Oryzias latipes: one gene and its partners. The protein of the gene in region 1 purifies or fractionates together with the protein of each later gene. This does not show direct contact. Links are inferred from orthologs where the notes say so. Each region holds a gene or a part of one and is shown in the gene's direction. Other genes may lie near its edges.

Region 1 (3,524 bases):
CGGCTGTGAAACAAAAGGATCATGTTTCTTACACTGACCTCTAATAAACGTGCAGGTGCGTGAGGTGCGCTCCCAGTTAAAGGACATCATGGTGCAGCAGAAGATGAACCTAGTTTCTTGCGGCTCAGACTGGGATATTATTAGAAAGTGCATCTGTGCGGCGTACTTCCACCAAGCAGCCAAGCTGAAGGTACTTTCTGCTCTCTGGGCTTTCCTCGGTTAATATGTTAGGCCCAGTGGCGACTGGTTGTTGCAGATTTATAGCAGCATAATTACAAAGTGGTGAAATATCCCCTCTGGCCTCACATTAATACTGTGCTAAAATCTGAAAGGGAATTTGAAATCATGACTTTATAATAATGGTTCTCGGTTTGACTTATGAGCAGCCAGCTAACCCAAGCAATCATAGTAATGTTGGATATCGTATAGATTTATTTTGCTGCTGTCTAATCCAGTTCCAGAAGAAAATTGACCCTGAAATCCTGCTTTGCTGTGATCTTATAGTGAAACAGTAAACGCAGGCACTAATCCACATAAAAAATGCACACACTGCATCAACCAAATGCTTCTTCAACCTGTTTTTATGAATGTATTTTGGTTCCCAGGGTATTGGAGAGTATGTTAATGTGAGGACTGGAATGCCATGCCATCTGCACCCTACGAGCTCCCTGTTCGGAATGGGCTACACTCCTGACTACATCATTTACCACGAACTTGTCATGACCACTAAGGTAAGTAAAGGTGGAAGGAAATATTCTATGAAATTAAAGCACGAACAGGTTATTAATCTTTTTATTTGGGTTTTAGGAGTACATGCAGTGTGTGACTGCAGTGGATGGAGAGTGGCTAGCAGAGCTTGGACCAATGTTCTACAGCGTCAAGCAAGCAGGAAGAAGCAGACAAGTAAGTTCAAACTAAAGAAGGCTGGAGCAATCTGGTTCATGCATTACAAATTAAAGAGATGACAGCGCCCTCTTAAAGAAATTAATGAGATTATATGGTTCATAGTTACTGTTTTTGTGAGCTCTCTATTTGAAGGAGTAGTACCCCGTATCTAAAGTAGAGAGATGGGAAGAATTATTCCATAGAGAATATTTGTGAGGGAAAGGGTTTGAAACTTGTGCGTTTGTGTTTTGTGTTTCACACCATTCAGCCTCTGTTTTTGTGCAACCGATGCTCAATCAATTTTACAACGGTTGCTGCCAGTAAAGCAAGAAGTTGAACTTGGATTAGCTATAATTTAAAGGGCCTATTTCATGCTTGTCTTTCAGAGTAAATTACATCCATATATATGATAATATATTAACCTTTGGGACACTAAAGAACAAACTTTTCTATGAAATAAGTTATTCTCGTAGCTAATTTTTCTACCCAGATGTAAGACGACTCGATCTCTGAGGCTCCGCCTTTCGCTCCTTGTGGGTGCCGCCCACTTCATGACACCAACCTAGTGTCATCCTCTGCACCATGTGTGTGTTTTACCCACGGAAACAAACATCTAAACTTTTGCAAACATGGATGTGCTTATTGTGTATAGAAATTAAAACCGTTTAACAGATCATCGTTAGCTCAGCGGAGAAAGTGTGTGTGTGTGTGTGTGTGTTAGCCTGGGGGTGGTGCTGGCAGCACAGACGCTTCCTGTAAGGGGCTGTTTCTCACTTATTTACGTCACAATGTGAGAGCCCAGTCGTTTTTGTGGTTGCTGCTCCGAACACAGGTTTTTAGAAAAATGCTCAGATGGATCAAAATTCCACTTTGAGGTTATTTTTTGTGAGGAATGAACACTACAACACACTTCAAAGCTTAAAACGTTGATTTTGCTTGATATAGGCCTTTTATGATTTCTAACTCTTACTTTTATTTTGGTAACTCAGATAAGTTTGTCACCTAAAGCACATTAGTGCCATCTTTGAACCTTTGTGCTTCCTGTTATCATAGGAGAACCGCCGTCGTGCCAAAGATGAGATCACCAACATGGAGGAGGAAATGGCCATGGCACAGGAGCAACTCCGCACGCGTCGAGAGGAGCAGGAGAAGAAGAGCAACATGAACATTGTCAGGTAAGTTGGTGTTGCACCTTCATTCACTGTGGCTCATCATTCAGGCTTCATTCAACAATGGTTCCCCATTTTCCATACACAGACGGCATTAGAAATGTTTCATTTACTTATCCAGCTGTCAGCCCATATCTCCACCCCTCCTCCACTCCACGACTCTCTCCACTCCACCTTTCTCACTTTTCATGATGAGCTTTTCTCACCTCTGGTCCTTCCAGACGAGACAAAAAGAAATAATATTGACTCCTGGCTGACCCCCATTACTGCAGCAATTTAAATTGTGCCATAGCAGAATAGCAAAAGGAGGGGAGCGTTCATTTTTAAATTAGACCAAAAAAATCATTTCACACCCATCTGTGAGTTTTGTAGTGAAAAATTAGACTTTAAAGAGTGATTTTAAAGCAACTTTTTATTGTTAATTAATCAGCTAATTTATCAGTCTTGAGGTTTGTGTGAAAATAATCATATTAGAAGTTTAGGATTATGGGATCTAACAACAGAACTTAAATGTGTGTTATTGGAGTTGGGGGCTCTCTTGGGCTTATGGCAGACTCTTCTCTGAAGGCTTTTAATAATACGCTCAGTTCTTCTAGGATGACACTTTTACTTAGTTTTTCTTTTTTCTTTTCTTTGATTCCAAAAAACTGCCGGCAATTAACATAATGTGCACTTTGGTTTAATTAATAGACATCCAGTGATTTCCGGTTTAATCAGACTCATTGGAACTTTAACTCTATTTAGGCTAAGTTGTTTTGTTTGGAGGTTTTACTTAATAAAGACGGATTTACTCCAAATATTTCTTAATTCTTTTTTTTTTTTTTTTACATCTTAAGAGGAATTAAAAAGATTAACATCCACATGCCTCTGACATTTTCAATGTGCAGTTTGGAATTCCGACATTATTTTCTTTAGCTTTTAGCAGCTCTATGTTAGCCTATGTTGACCTTTCCATCAATTGAAAAGTAAGAACCAATAAGAGCTATTACAGAGATTCCACCATTTAAATGCAACAATGTCACATTTTTACTAGATGTATGTGCTAATCTGTACTGTTTTATTCATGGAAAATTAACGAGATTCAGACAAAACTCTATTTTCCGATTCCCATCTTCAAAAATGGGAAATACTGTTTTTTATGAAAGGAAACCTCCTTGTTTATCCTTGAAATCTACATGAAGCCTTTGTGCTGAAGCCACGTGCAGCACATGTGAAATGAACAAGGAGACAAAGATAGGTGGTGTTGGGTGGGTGGGGAGCACGGTGACAGGAGGGGGTTATTGCCTGATGGTGTAATTGCTGCAGGTGTGTGTATGTGAGCAGGAGGCAGAAGTGTGGGCAGTGTCAGTGTCATGTAATTAAAGATGATAGATTGTGCTGTCAGAGGCTTCAGCTCCATGTCCAAACACTTCACAGAGACATCAGTCTACCTTTTCACTGCCCCCCCCCCCCCCCCCCCCCCCCCATCCT
Region 2 (2,297 bases), on another chromosome or scaffold:
GCAGATGATGACAGATGGCGTTTCTTCATTTTGAAGAGCTCTACAACAGCATCAATGAGCAGCACACGCCTCCATGTGTGCCTCATGAAACCATTCACTCTCCCAGTGAGGAGCAGCAGCTGCCCCCAACTGTGGCAGGAGAAGCCGCCGCCCCTCTGGAACCAGTGGGAGGGGCTTGTAGCAGGGGATGGTGGAAGAATGGATAATAGTCAATTCCTCCTACATTCCCTGCTTTTCTTACTTTTAAAAAAAACTGTATATACATTTTTTTGCACGGTGATTTTGATCAAATCGATTAATTGATCTGAATTGATCCAATCTTAGTAGATCAATAATAGATCCATTAAAGTAGAAATCGATCTTTTATGCTCATTTTTTTCCGGGGATCTAATGTATAACATCAGTAAAGCCAAAGTCTGCTAGCTTGATGCTAACGTATAATGGAATTTCCCATAGGACGGCTAATGCTAACTCTTGGACGACCCAAACATACATTACTGACTCAATGAGCAGCTTTATAGACTCACAGGCAGGAATTTTCCAAACTCTTTTACAGAAACATTTTTGAAAGTAACCATTTGTGGTCTAAAGCTCCATTTTTTGCTCCAATCTTCTGGAATAAAGTGTAATGCTATAAGGAGAGCTCCACCTAGTGGCCAGACGGAAACGCCCTCCAGCAGAGACAGACCATAATGATCTGGTTGTTCAGTTAGAGCTTCTCTGTTGGAGAAAGCATGGAACGCCGTGTGCTGTTAACCATCTCACTGCTTTATTGTGTCAGCTCTCCTGCTGCACTTTAGCTCAGATTGACATCCTGAGGATTTTGTCTAAATAGGTTTATGTTGAGTTCAGAGAGTCATTAGTGTTTATAGAAAAGCCTCAATGAGCAAATGTTTTAATGTTATACATTCGTGTCTGTTTACATACATATTTTGAAATATTTATATACTTTTCATAAAACATGTTTTGTGGGCTTTTATCTTGTTTTCTGATCTGAAAAGTTCTGAGATCCGCTTTAAACCTTGTTTGTGCTGAAGACGGCGTCCTTCTCGCCTAGCGGTTTGAGGGTCTGTGCTGGTTTAACCTCGCCGTGTCTCCTTGCACTCAGGTGTGGAAACGTTGCGGCCATCTTGGAGCTGGATGAGCATCTACAGCGGGAGTTCATCATATTTGAAGCAGCGCCACAGGAGACCAGAGGCATCCCCTCCAAGAAGCCCGTCGCCGACTATTTCCTGTAGAGCTCCAGGCCAGCAGCCATAAGGCGCCGCCATTCTAGTTCCAGTTCTCCCCGGCGCCTCCGGCCTCCTGCTGCTCCCCGACAGCGGCGTCCGTCTGAACTCAAAGCAGTCCGGAGGCCTGCTGGCTCCTGTGGAGCGGCCTGGATGTGGCCTCCATCTGTCCTGCTCTGTAGACACAACTTCCAGCCCGACTCCGCCTCTCTGCTCCTCTTTTTTTTATTCAGACCATTTCTTTTAGTTTCAGTTGGAAAACCGTAACTTCTCTCTTTGTTCAAAGATACGCAGCTGTGCAAAGTTTTATGATTTTAATGAATTCCTTTAATGCATATTATGTTGTCTCTGTACAGTTATTGCTGCAAGATTCCAGTGACCCCCCCCCCCCCCCATATGTCACATGACTCGCTATCTACCATTCAGAACGCTGCTGTGAATAAACTCCTGAAGGACGACTCAGCAGGAAGCTCTTCTCACATCCGTTTCCACTCTTCCTTCCTTTTAACCCGTCTGTCGATTTTGATATTGTGAGAATAAAGTTTTGTACCAATGCTGACCCTTTGCTGATTGATTTACTCTCCTGAAGCTCCGCCCATGTCGCCTGAACGCTGACCCGCTCCGTCCTCCAGGGTCGTTCCCACACGACCTCCTGGAACCCCGTGGTGGGATGGAGGTTCTGTTCTTTCCATGGAGTCATTGCCATGTTTTTGCTTCTGAATAAGGTTCCGGATGGTTCCTCTGGGCCGCTGCACGGCTCGTTTTACCTGAAACCTCTGGTTTCACCCACCAGAACTTCTGGCATCTTTGGACCCGCTTCTGTTAAACCGCTGGGCCATTTTCACCATCGTTCATGTGGAATTCAGTTCCCAGGGTGTAATTTGATCATGCATTTTCTAAATCAATAAATTCAATGCAAAAAACAATCTTAGTTAAACAATAAAATGTTGCATTTTGGATTGTCACATGTTTTTGGTAACATACTTTAGATAAAAAGGCTTTTATATTGAATTTAGTTGAGCATTTTAAAAACGACTGAATATTCAATACAAAGAGGAAATTTACATT
Region 3 (3,524 bases), on another chromosome or scaffold:
TTTAAAGTCTGTTTAATTAAATGTGTGCATTCTCTGCTAAAGGATAAAATCCACGTGTAAACTGACGGATGATGATCTCGTTAAGATCTAGAATGATTACCGTACAATTTTTGGCCCAATAATATTTTTGGTTTTCACTTTCCATTTATACAGTTAGAACATTTGGAGCCACATCTGCTTCCACCCTCACTCTTTTTTGGACTTATAAGGGCCCACTCGAAGGCTTTCATGAAAAATCCATCCTTTCACATGTTAATACATGCAAAATAAGTGTACCTGCGGCTTCTTTTATGTCACACTGGCTTTCCTTTGTGCCCAGAATGGAAACCCTGACAGGGACAAGCCCCCTTGTAACTCTCAGGAGCTGGAGGATTGTGACGGGTATCCAGAAGACAGCTTCACGCTCGCTCACTTCGATGAAATATCACTCAAACCTACTCAGGTGGTGAGTAACACGTCTCCCTGTTTTCTGGACACTTTTTTTATTTGTTTGCCAATCTTTTAAGGTGGTTCCCTTATTTTTTAGTCCCACTTCTTGTTTCTTTCATTCCTTTAACATGATGTGATTATCTTATGATAACATTTTTATGTTTGACCTCCTTCACACAAGCAAATGATAGATTTCATTGCTCATTTCATTGTAAGAATGTTGTTTTTCTACTCGAACAGATACCATTAATCAATGTTTACAGTAGCCTTTTAGCTGAGTATCTTCCTGTCACTTTGGTGTGATGCATATTAGGAATGGACTGTAGGAGCCGGTGCAATGGTCATGAAGAGGTAATAAAGTCACTACTGCTCTGCAAACTTTCAAGAACCGGTGAAGGATAGTTCAACTTAGCCATCTGCAGATAAATGTAATAATTTTTCATAAATAAACTAGAAATTAATGAGACCGTCTTGACAGTTTTATAGTTGGTCTGATTTAATGAGACAGTATGGCTATGAAAGTATTTATCAGACACAATGAAGCTAATTAGAGCTCATAGTATTATAGAGAATACTACCTGGAGAATATTTCTATTGAATGAAAATGACCCACTTTATGCTGATGATGTTGTGATGTCCTTCTACTCTAAAACGATGAACACACTGGGCATGTGAGTGCATTCAAAAACACACTGAATGTGATTTTGAACATGCCTTTTAGCATATGTCGCTACCCAATACCTGCGCATGTACCCATAGTTGGACAGGGCGTGGTGCGAAATGTCAGAGTGGTGCAAATCTCCAGGTTTTTGATTTTACAGCTCTGTTCTGAAAGACTTGATTTAATAAAATTCCGGCCAGGCACAAACCACGATTTCTCCTTCATGATCAATTTTCAAATGGTTGACACTTTTGTTTACTAAAAAGGATGCAACCCATACGTCAATGCCAAATCCGAATCCCAGTTTAACTGGTGTAACTTTCAGTGCACTTTCATTTGCCATGTGATTTCTACAAAGAGCCCGCAAACAGACTTGTGTGAGTTTTGCATGTGGAAGCCCGAAACAAGCATATGCTGAGATAGATTTTTCTTGGACGGTGTGACATTTTATTGTGACCACACAGAGAGCTGTAAAATCAGAGTCTCGTTTACTGAAACCAACTTGCTAAGAAAGAAGCTCTAACGCTTCCACCAAATGAAGCTTCATAGACGTTTTAAAGAAGTGAGTGACAGAAAATGTCAAAGGTAAGATTTGTTTGGATGTTTTATGCACGTTGAGGCAGCAATAACACCTTTCGCGTCAAAATTCTCTCAAGTGGTAAAAGAGAAACAAAAAAAAAGAGACAGAGCTTTATTCTGAATGCAAAATCACAGCCAAGTTCAAGGTAAACACTCTTTTCAGTCTGAAACTAGTTTTGAGGACATTTTTCTTTTAGAAAAAAATAACAATTTGACATCTAAAGAAGGAAATATTATTTTTTAAGATGGATTTTTGCTTGAGTTAAGAAATAGTTATAGAGCTCAGAATAACAAAGGTCTTCCTTAATTATCATGAATTAGAGCCTTTTCCCAGTGGAACTAATGGAATACAGCCTAAATATTTTAGTACATGCTCATATGGTTTGGCAATTTTCAAATATTTTACCTAACATGTTACACAGTTTAGTTTAATATTTCTTGAACAGAAATAGAATAGAATAGAATAGAATTGAATAGAATATAATTAAGAATGGGCGATGTACAAGTGCCAGTAACTTATTGGACAATATTTGCATAATTTGAGTTTATCTGTATCGGTCTGATATTAAAAACTTTACTGATATTCCTCTGACTGTTTTCAGAAAAACTTTATTTTTTAAATATATATTTGTTTCTAATAGCTTATGTTCACAGTCATAATCAGTTATTGACCGTTTACAGGTAAACGTCATTTTTGATAGTGATGCATGTTGTGCCCAATAGAACCCTGGCAATTCAAATTCAAATTCAACTTTATTTATATAGCGCTTTTCATGCTTCATAGCATCTCAAAATGCTTCCCAAAGAAAGAATAAAACAAATATGATAAAAAAAAATATATAATAGTTAAAATAATAAACAAAGTAAAAAAGAATGTAATAATAATACAAATAAATGCAAATAATAATAAAATAAATGAATTAATAAAAACACACAAAAAACCCAACACATACACATCCCTCCTTTAAAATAAAAACAAATAAAATTAGCTGTTAAATTTTTATAAAATCAAATAAAAACATGTGGACAAGTAAAAACTATGTAAAAGCTTTACTAAAAAGATGTGTCTTAAGTTTTTGCTTAAAAACCTCCACAGTGGCTGAAGCCCTCACGTCCTCAGGCAGGCTGTTCCACAGGCGAGGTCCACAGTGCTGAAATGAGGCCTCGCCGTGCGTTTTAGTTCTGACCTTTGGGACCACTAGCAGACCTGCACCTGTGGACCTGAGGGCTCTGGGAGGGTCATAGACTAAAAGTAAATCTGATAAAAATGAGGGTCCAGTTCCATGTAAACTTTTATAAACTAATAAAAGAACCTTAAAATCGATCTTAAAGCTGACAGGGAGCCAGTGCAAAGACTTCAAAATTGGAGTAATGTGCTCCTTCTTTCTGGTTCTGGTTAAAAGGCGTGCAGCTGAGTTTTGAACAAGCTGCAGCCGGTTTACAGTATTTCTCTTAGCACCAGAAAGAAGAGCATTACAATAGTCTATCCTAGAAGTTATAAAAGCATGGATTAATATTTCAGCACTGGCTTGTGAGAGAAAGGGTCTCACTCGGGCAATATTTCTAAGATGATAAAATGCAGTCTTTGTAACTTGGTTTGCGTGTGCTTCAAAGTTAAGATCTGCATCTAAAATCATACAGAGGTTTTTTACTTTATTGCACACATTCAGATTAAAAGTTGATAAATAGGATTGGACCCTTTCTCTCTCAGCTTCAGGACCAACAATTAAAATGTCAGTTTTGTCTTGATTGAGCTTTAAGAAGTTCTCTCCCGTCCATGTTTCAATATCTAAAACACAATTTAAAAGGTCATCAATGGGTCCCATGTCATCAGGAGACACAGCCACATATAACT
Region 4 (3,524 bases), on another chromosome or scaffold:
GTACATCAGAGGGACGGCTCATGTTGCCTGTGTTAGCGACAAAGTCAGAGAAGCCAGACTGAGATGGTTTGGACATGTTCAGAGGAGGGATAGTGGATATATTGGTAGAAGGATGTTGGAGATGGAGCTGCCTGGCAGGAGGGCAAGAGGACGGCCAAAGAGGAGATATATGGATGTCTTAACAGAGGACATGAAGTTGGCTAATGTTAGGGTAGAAGATGTTCATGATAGTGAGATGGAAAAGGATGATTCGCTGTGGCGACCCCTGATGGGAAAAGCCGAAAGAGAAGATTGTATTAAAATAATTTAGATTGCTGTGACTTTGAAACTAGCAGAATGTTATTTGTTTGTTTTTCTTGTAAATAACTCCCTTTTAGGAAGATTTGAACTTAAAGGGGCTATATTATGCTAAGTATTTTGTTTAAGCTTTAAATTGTATTCTAATATTCATTCCTCACGAAAAGAAACCCCAAAGTGGTATTTTGATCCGTTTACGCAATTCACCCAATCCACGTAAACGAGTGGGTCCTCACATTGTGACGTAGATCTATCGCCCCAGGTGAACACACACACTTTCTCTAAAAATGTGTTCTATTGTGTGCCAAAGTTTATTTCATATACATGGATATTGTTTACTATAAAAGACTTAACCCTTGTGCTATCTTAGATGACCCCACCCTTACATTGACATGTTCTACCTACCATGACAAAAGTGGATAAAGGTGGAAAGATTTCATGTAATCCATGGACACCAGTGAAGATCACAAATCATTGAAGAAAAAAGGTTCAGTGCACTGTCTAGTGGGTCTAGATCAGGGGTCGGGAACCTTTTTGGCCAAGAGAGCCAAAAACGCCACATATTTTGAAATGTAATTTCGAAAGAGCCATACCATTATGTAGTGTCCTTTTCCCACACTGAGGCACGGAGACTTAACCTCTTTTAAAGTTCTTTATTCTGATTACTGCAGACCGTAACAAACGCCCTACAATTAATTCAGCAGCTCCTGAATCTCTCCCGCCGAGACGAGAGAGCTTCTCCCAACTTTATATTCCCCTGCTCCCGCTCCAGCCCCTCCCATTCCCCTTAATCGGCCCACAGCTGAACCCCATTGGTCCAAACTACCAAACAACAGGCTGAGCGACAGAACTGAGGGCCAATCAGATCACTGCTTGATCGATGCGTTCCATGAACTCCAGAACTTTTAACGCGGCCCAACAGCCATCCAACTCAGTCCGCGACAATTTGTTTAAAACTAAATATACAAGTGAATGTGTGCATTTGATTTAATTTCAACATTTTTAAAGTACAATAAGTCTGAGGATTCTTTTTAATAACATTGTTATGCTGTTGCTAATAAATGATGAGTATTTCTCGTGGTAGTTTTGCTGATGGTCTAGTCTGGTTGATACGTGGTGAGTTTCTGCTTCATGCAGGCGTTGAGACTTTAAACGTCATCGTAGGTATGAATGTTCTGTAGATGTGAGACAGACTGCTCACATGCAGATACGGAGCCAAACACACACTTACACGCTGCAGTGAGTGACGGGCAGCGGGTTTTAGGTTTTTACAATCCCTGCGCGATTCACCTGCTGCCTGTCCCCACAACACCTCAGCCCCACCCTCTGCTTTCTCCCTCACACATCCCGTCCTCGCATCTGCGCGCTCTTTCTCAGAGACGGGAGCGCGCAGTTTTAGGCACGGCAATTCACAGGTTTCAGGCTGGTACAAACTCTGTGAAATAATAGATAATAGTAACTGATAGCGCTGGCACAGATTTTTTTCTCCAAGCACCGCTACTACTGCGCGCCTCTGGCATCGCATTGCGCCCGAGAAGGACTGGTCTAATGAAAAAAAAAAAAAGTATAATTAAAGATTTGTCTGCGAGCCACATGTGACCATCAAAAGAGCCATATATGGCTCGCGAGCCATAGGTTCCCGACCCCTGGTCTAGATCAATGTTTTTCAACCAGTGCCTTGGGATATTGCCCTCATTAACTGATCTAAAAACATTTCACAATCTCCAGGATATCAGCTCTTAGTTCATCCAAACAGGCCCTGATAAAACACTGAGTAGTTAGGAATATAAAAGATCATAAAACACTTTTTTCTTTGTGTTTATTTGATTAAATTAAAGACATTTTGATAAGAATGACGGTACCGTGATTTAGCTGCAGCTTCAGCTCTGTTTTCGGAAACTGTCTCCACCAATCATTCTTGGAGGCTTAATCATACGTCATCAGTCTGACCCATCAGAAGTGGTTAAAGTCTTCACTTCCTTGTTCTGATCTGCTCGTAAGTCTCTCAATTCCAACAAAAGTACCAGCTAAAGCTCGTCTTTAGCGATGTAGCTTTCCACAGAATCCGGTATCAGACCGTGGAACAAGTGAACAAAACAATGAAGCTCAGAGACGCGAGTCTTTTTTCGTTCAGCGGCTGTTTTCACTACATCTCCCATGATGCATTGGGTTAAAGTGACAGCGGCTCAGCGCACAATGAGTCGTCCTTGTTAAACGTCTTGAAACCACAGCAAACAGACATCAAAAAGTTTTTAAATCTTCTAACTTAACTTTTATTACATCTTCTAGAAAAACAGCTGCAGCTTCCAGCTTTTTCTGCCACAATTATCACAAAAATGCATGTGAGATTGCAGAGGGGCTGTAGATCAATACAGACTATGAGTTTCTTTCTTTTTTTTTTTTTTTTTTTGGACGGTGGTGTGCTGTGGGATTTTTGTCAAGGTTAAAGTGTGCCGTGGCTCAAGAAAGGTAGAAAAACACCGATCTAGATGACCCAACTCCAAATGTTAAAGTGCCTAGGATAGCACAAGGGTTAAGAATAGTCCTTTTAAAAATATGATTTTACATATATAATTATGTAAATAAGTGTAAAATTAAACTGTAGTCTATGATTTATTTTTGTTATTATCGAAAGAAGCATCTCAGGTTTCCAAGCTCTTCATCATGATTTCAACACTTGCATGCCTTATCTATAACATCACTAAAATCACCAAACATTTGTGGATTTATAGACGTCCTAATCTCTTTATACATTTCATTGTAGCAAAAGTTGATATTTTTGTGAAGACTAAAAGTGGTTTCCTCGTTGTCGTCCTCTGCAGCATGCGTTCTATCCTGCGCAACCATCGCTTTCGGCGTGATGCACGAACACTAGAGGATGAAGAGGAGATGTGGTTCAACACAGATGAGGATGACCTAGAGGACGGCGAGGCAGTGGTTCCACCTTCTGACAAGATGAAAAGCGAGGAAGACCTCATGGAACCAATAAGCAAGTTCATGGAGAGAAAGAAATGTTAGTATATAAACATTTCAGCATTAGAAGGGTGAAGATGCAGTTAAGAAAATCAGTGACTTTTGCAGAATTTTGCAAATTGGTTTTTAAAAATTTCTTTTGCTCCTGTTTCCTGAAGCTGTTAGAGTTAAAAAAAATAACAGGACTTTTACCAATGTCCATTTTATTACTATAAATGTCCACGATTAGAGACATGTTTGATGCAAAAGCAACT

The links.
Region 2: the proteins of dhx38 (region 1) and ppp4c purify together in Homo sapiens (affinity purification with mass spectrometry; 5 studies listed by BioGRID and IntAct, with this or other methods). This does not show direct contact. The link is inferred for Oryzias latipes from reciprocal best matches to the Homo sapiens genes DHX38 and PPP4C.
Region 3: the proteins of dhx38 (region 1) and nudcd1 purify together in Homo sapiens (co-immunoprecipitation; 3 studies listed by BioGRID and IntAct, with this or other methods). This does not show direct contact. The link is inferred for Oryzias latipes from reciprocal best matches to the Homo sapiens genes DHX38 and NUDCD1.
Region 4: the proteins of dhx38 (region 1) and ppp4r3a purify together in Homo sapiens (co-immunoprecipitation; 3 studies listed by BioGRID and IntAct, with this or other methods). This does not show direct contact. The link is inferred for Oryzias latipes from reciprocal best matches to the Homo sapiens genes DHX38 and PPP4R3A.

The regions. Positions count from the first base shown.
Region 1 is NC_019861.2:20,540,813-20,544,336, forward strand, and holds part of dhx38 (pre-mRNA-splicing factor ATP-dependent RNA helicase PRP16), read left to right. Parts: intron 1-55; coding exon 56-190; intron 191-605; coding exon 606-731; intron 732-807; coding exon 808-903; intron 904-1,938; coding exon 1,939-2,060; intron 2,061-3,524. UniProt on the Homo sapiens protein: Probable ATP-binding RNA helicase. Involved in pre-mRNA splicing as component of the spliceosome.
Region 2 is NC_019866.2:25,208,678-25,210,974, reverse strand, and holds the end of ppp4c (serine/threonine-protein phosphatase 4 catalytic subunit), read left to right. Parts: intron 1-1,108; coding exon 1,109-1,238; 3' UTR 1,239-1,788; downstream 1,789-2,297. UniProt on the Homo sapiens protein: Protein phosphatase that is involved in many processes such as microtubule organization at centrosomes, maturation of spliceosomal snRNPs, apoptosis, DNA repair, tumor necrosis factor (TNF)-alpha signaling, activation of c-Jun N-terminal kinase MAPK8, regulation of histone acetylation, DNA damage checkpoint signaling, NF-kappa-B activation and cell migration.
Region 3 is NC_019869.2:17,473,181-17,476,704, forward strand, and holds part of nudcd1 (nudC domain-containing protein 1), read left to right. Parts: intron 1-319; coding exon 320-445; intron 446-3,524.
Region 4 is NC_019882.2:7,224,420-7,227,943, reverse strand, and holds part of ppp4r3a (serine/threonine-protein phosphatase 4 regulatory subunit 3A), read left to right. Parts: intron 1-3,119; coding exon 3,120-3,310; intron 3,311-3,524. UniProt on the Homo sapiens protein: Regulatory subunit of serine/threonine-protein phosphatase 4. May regulate the activity of PPP4C at centrosomal microtubule organizing centers.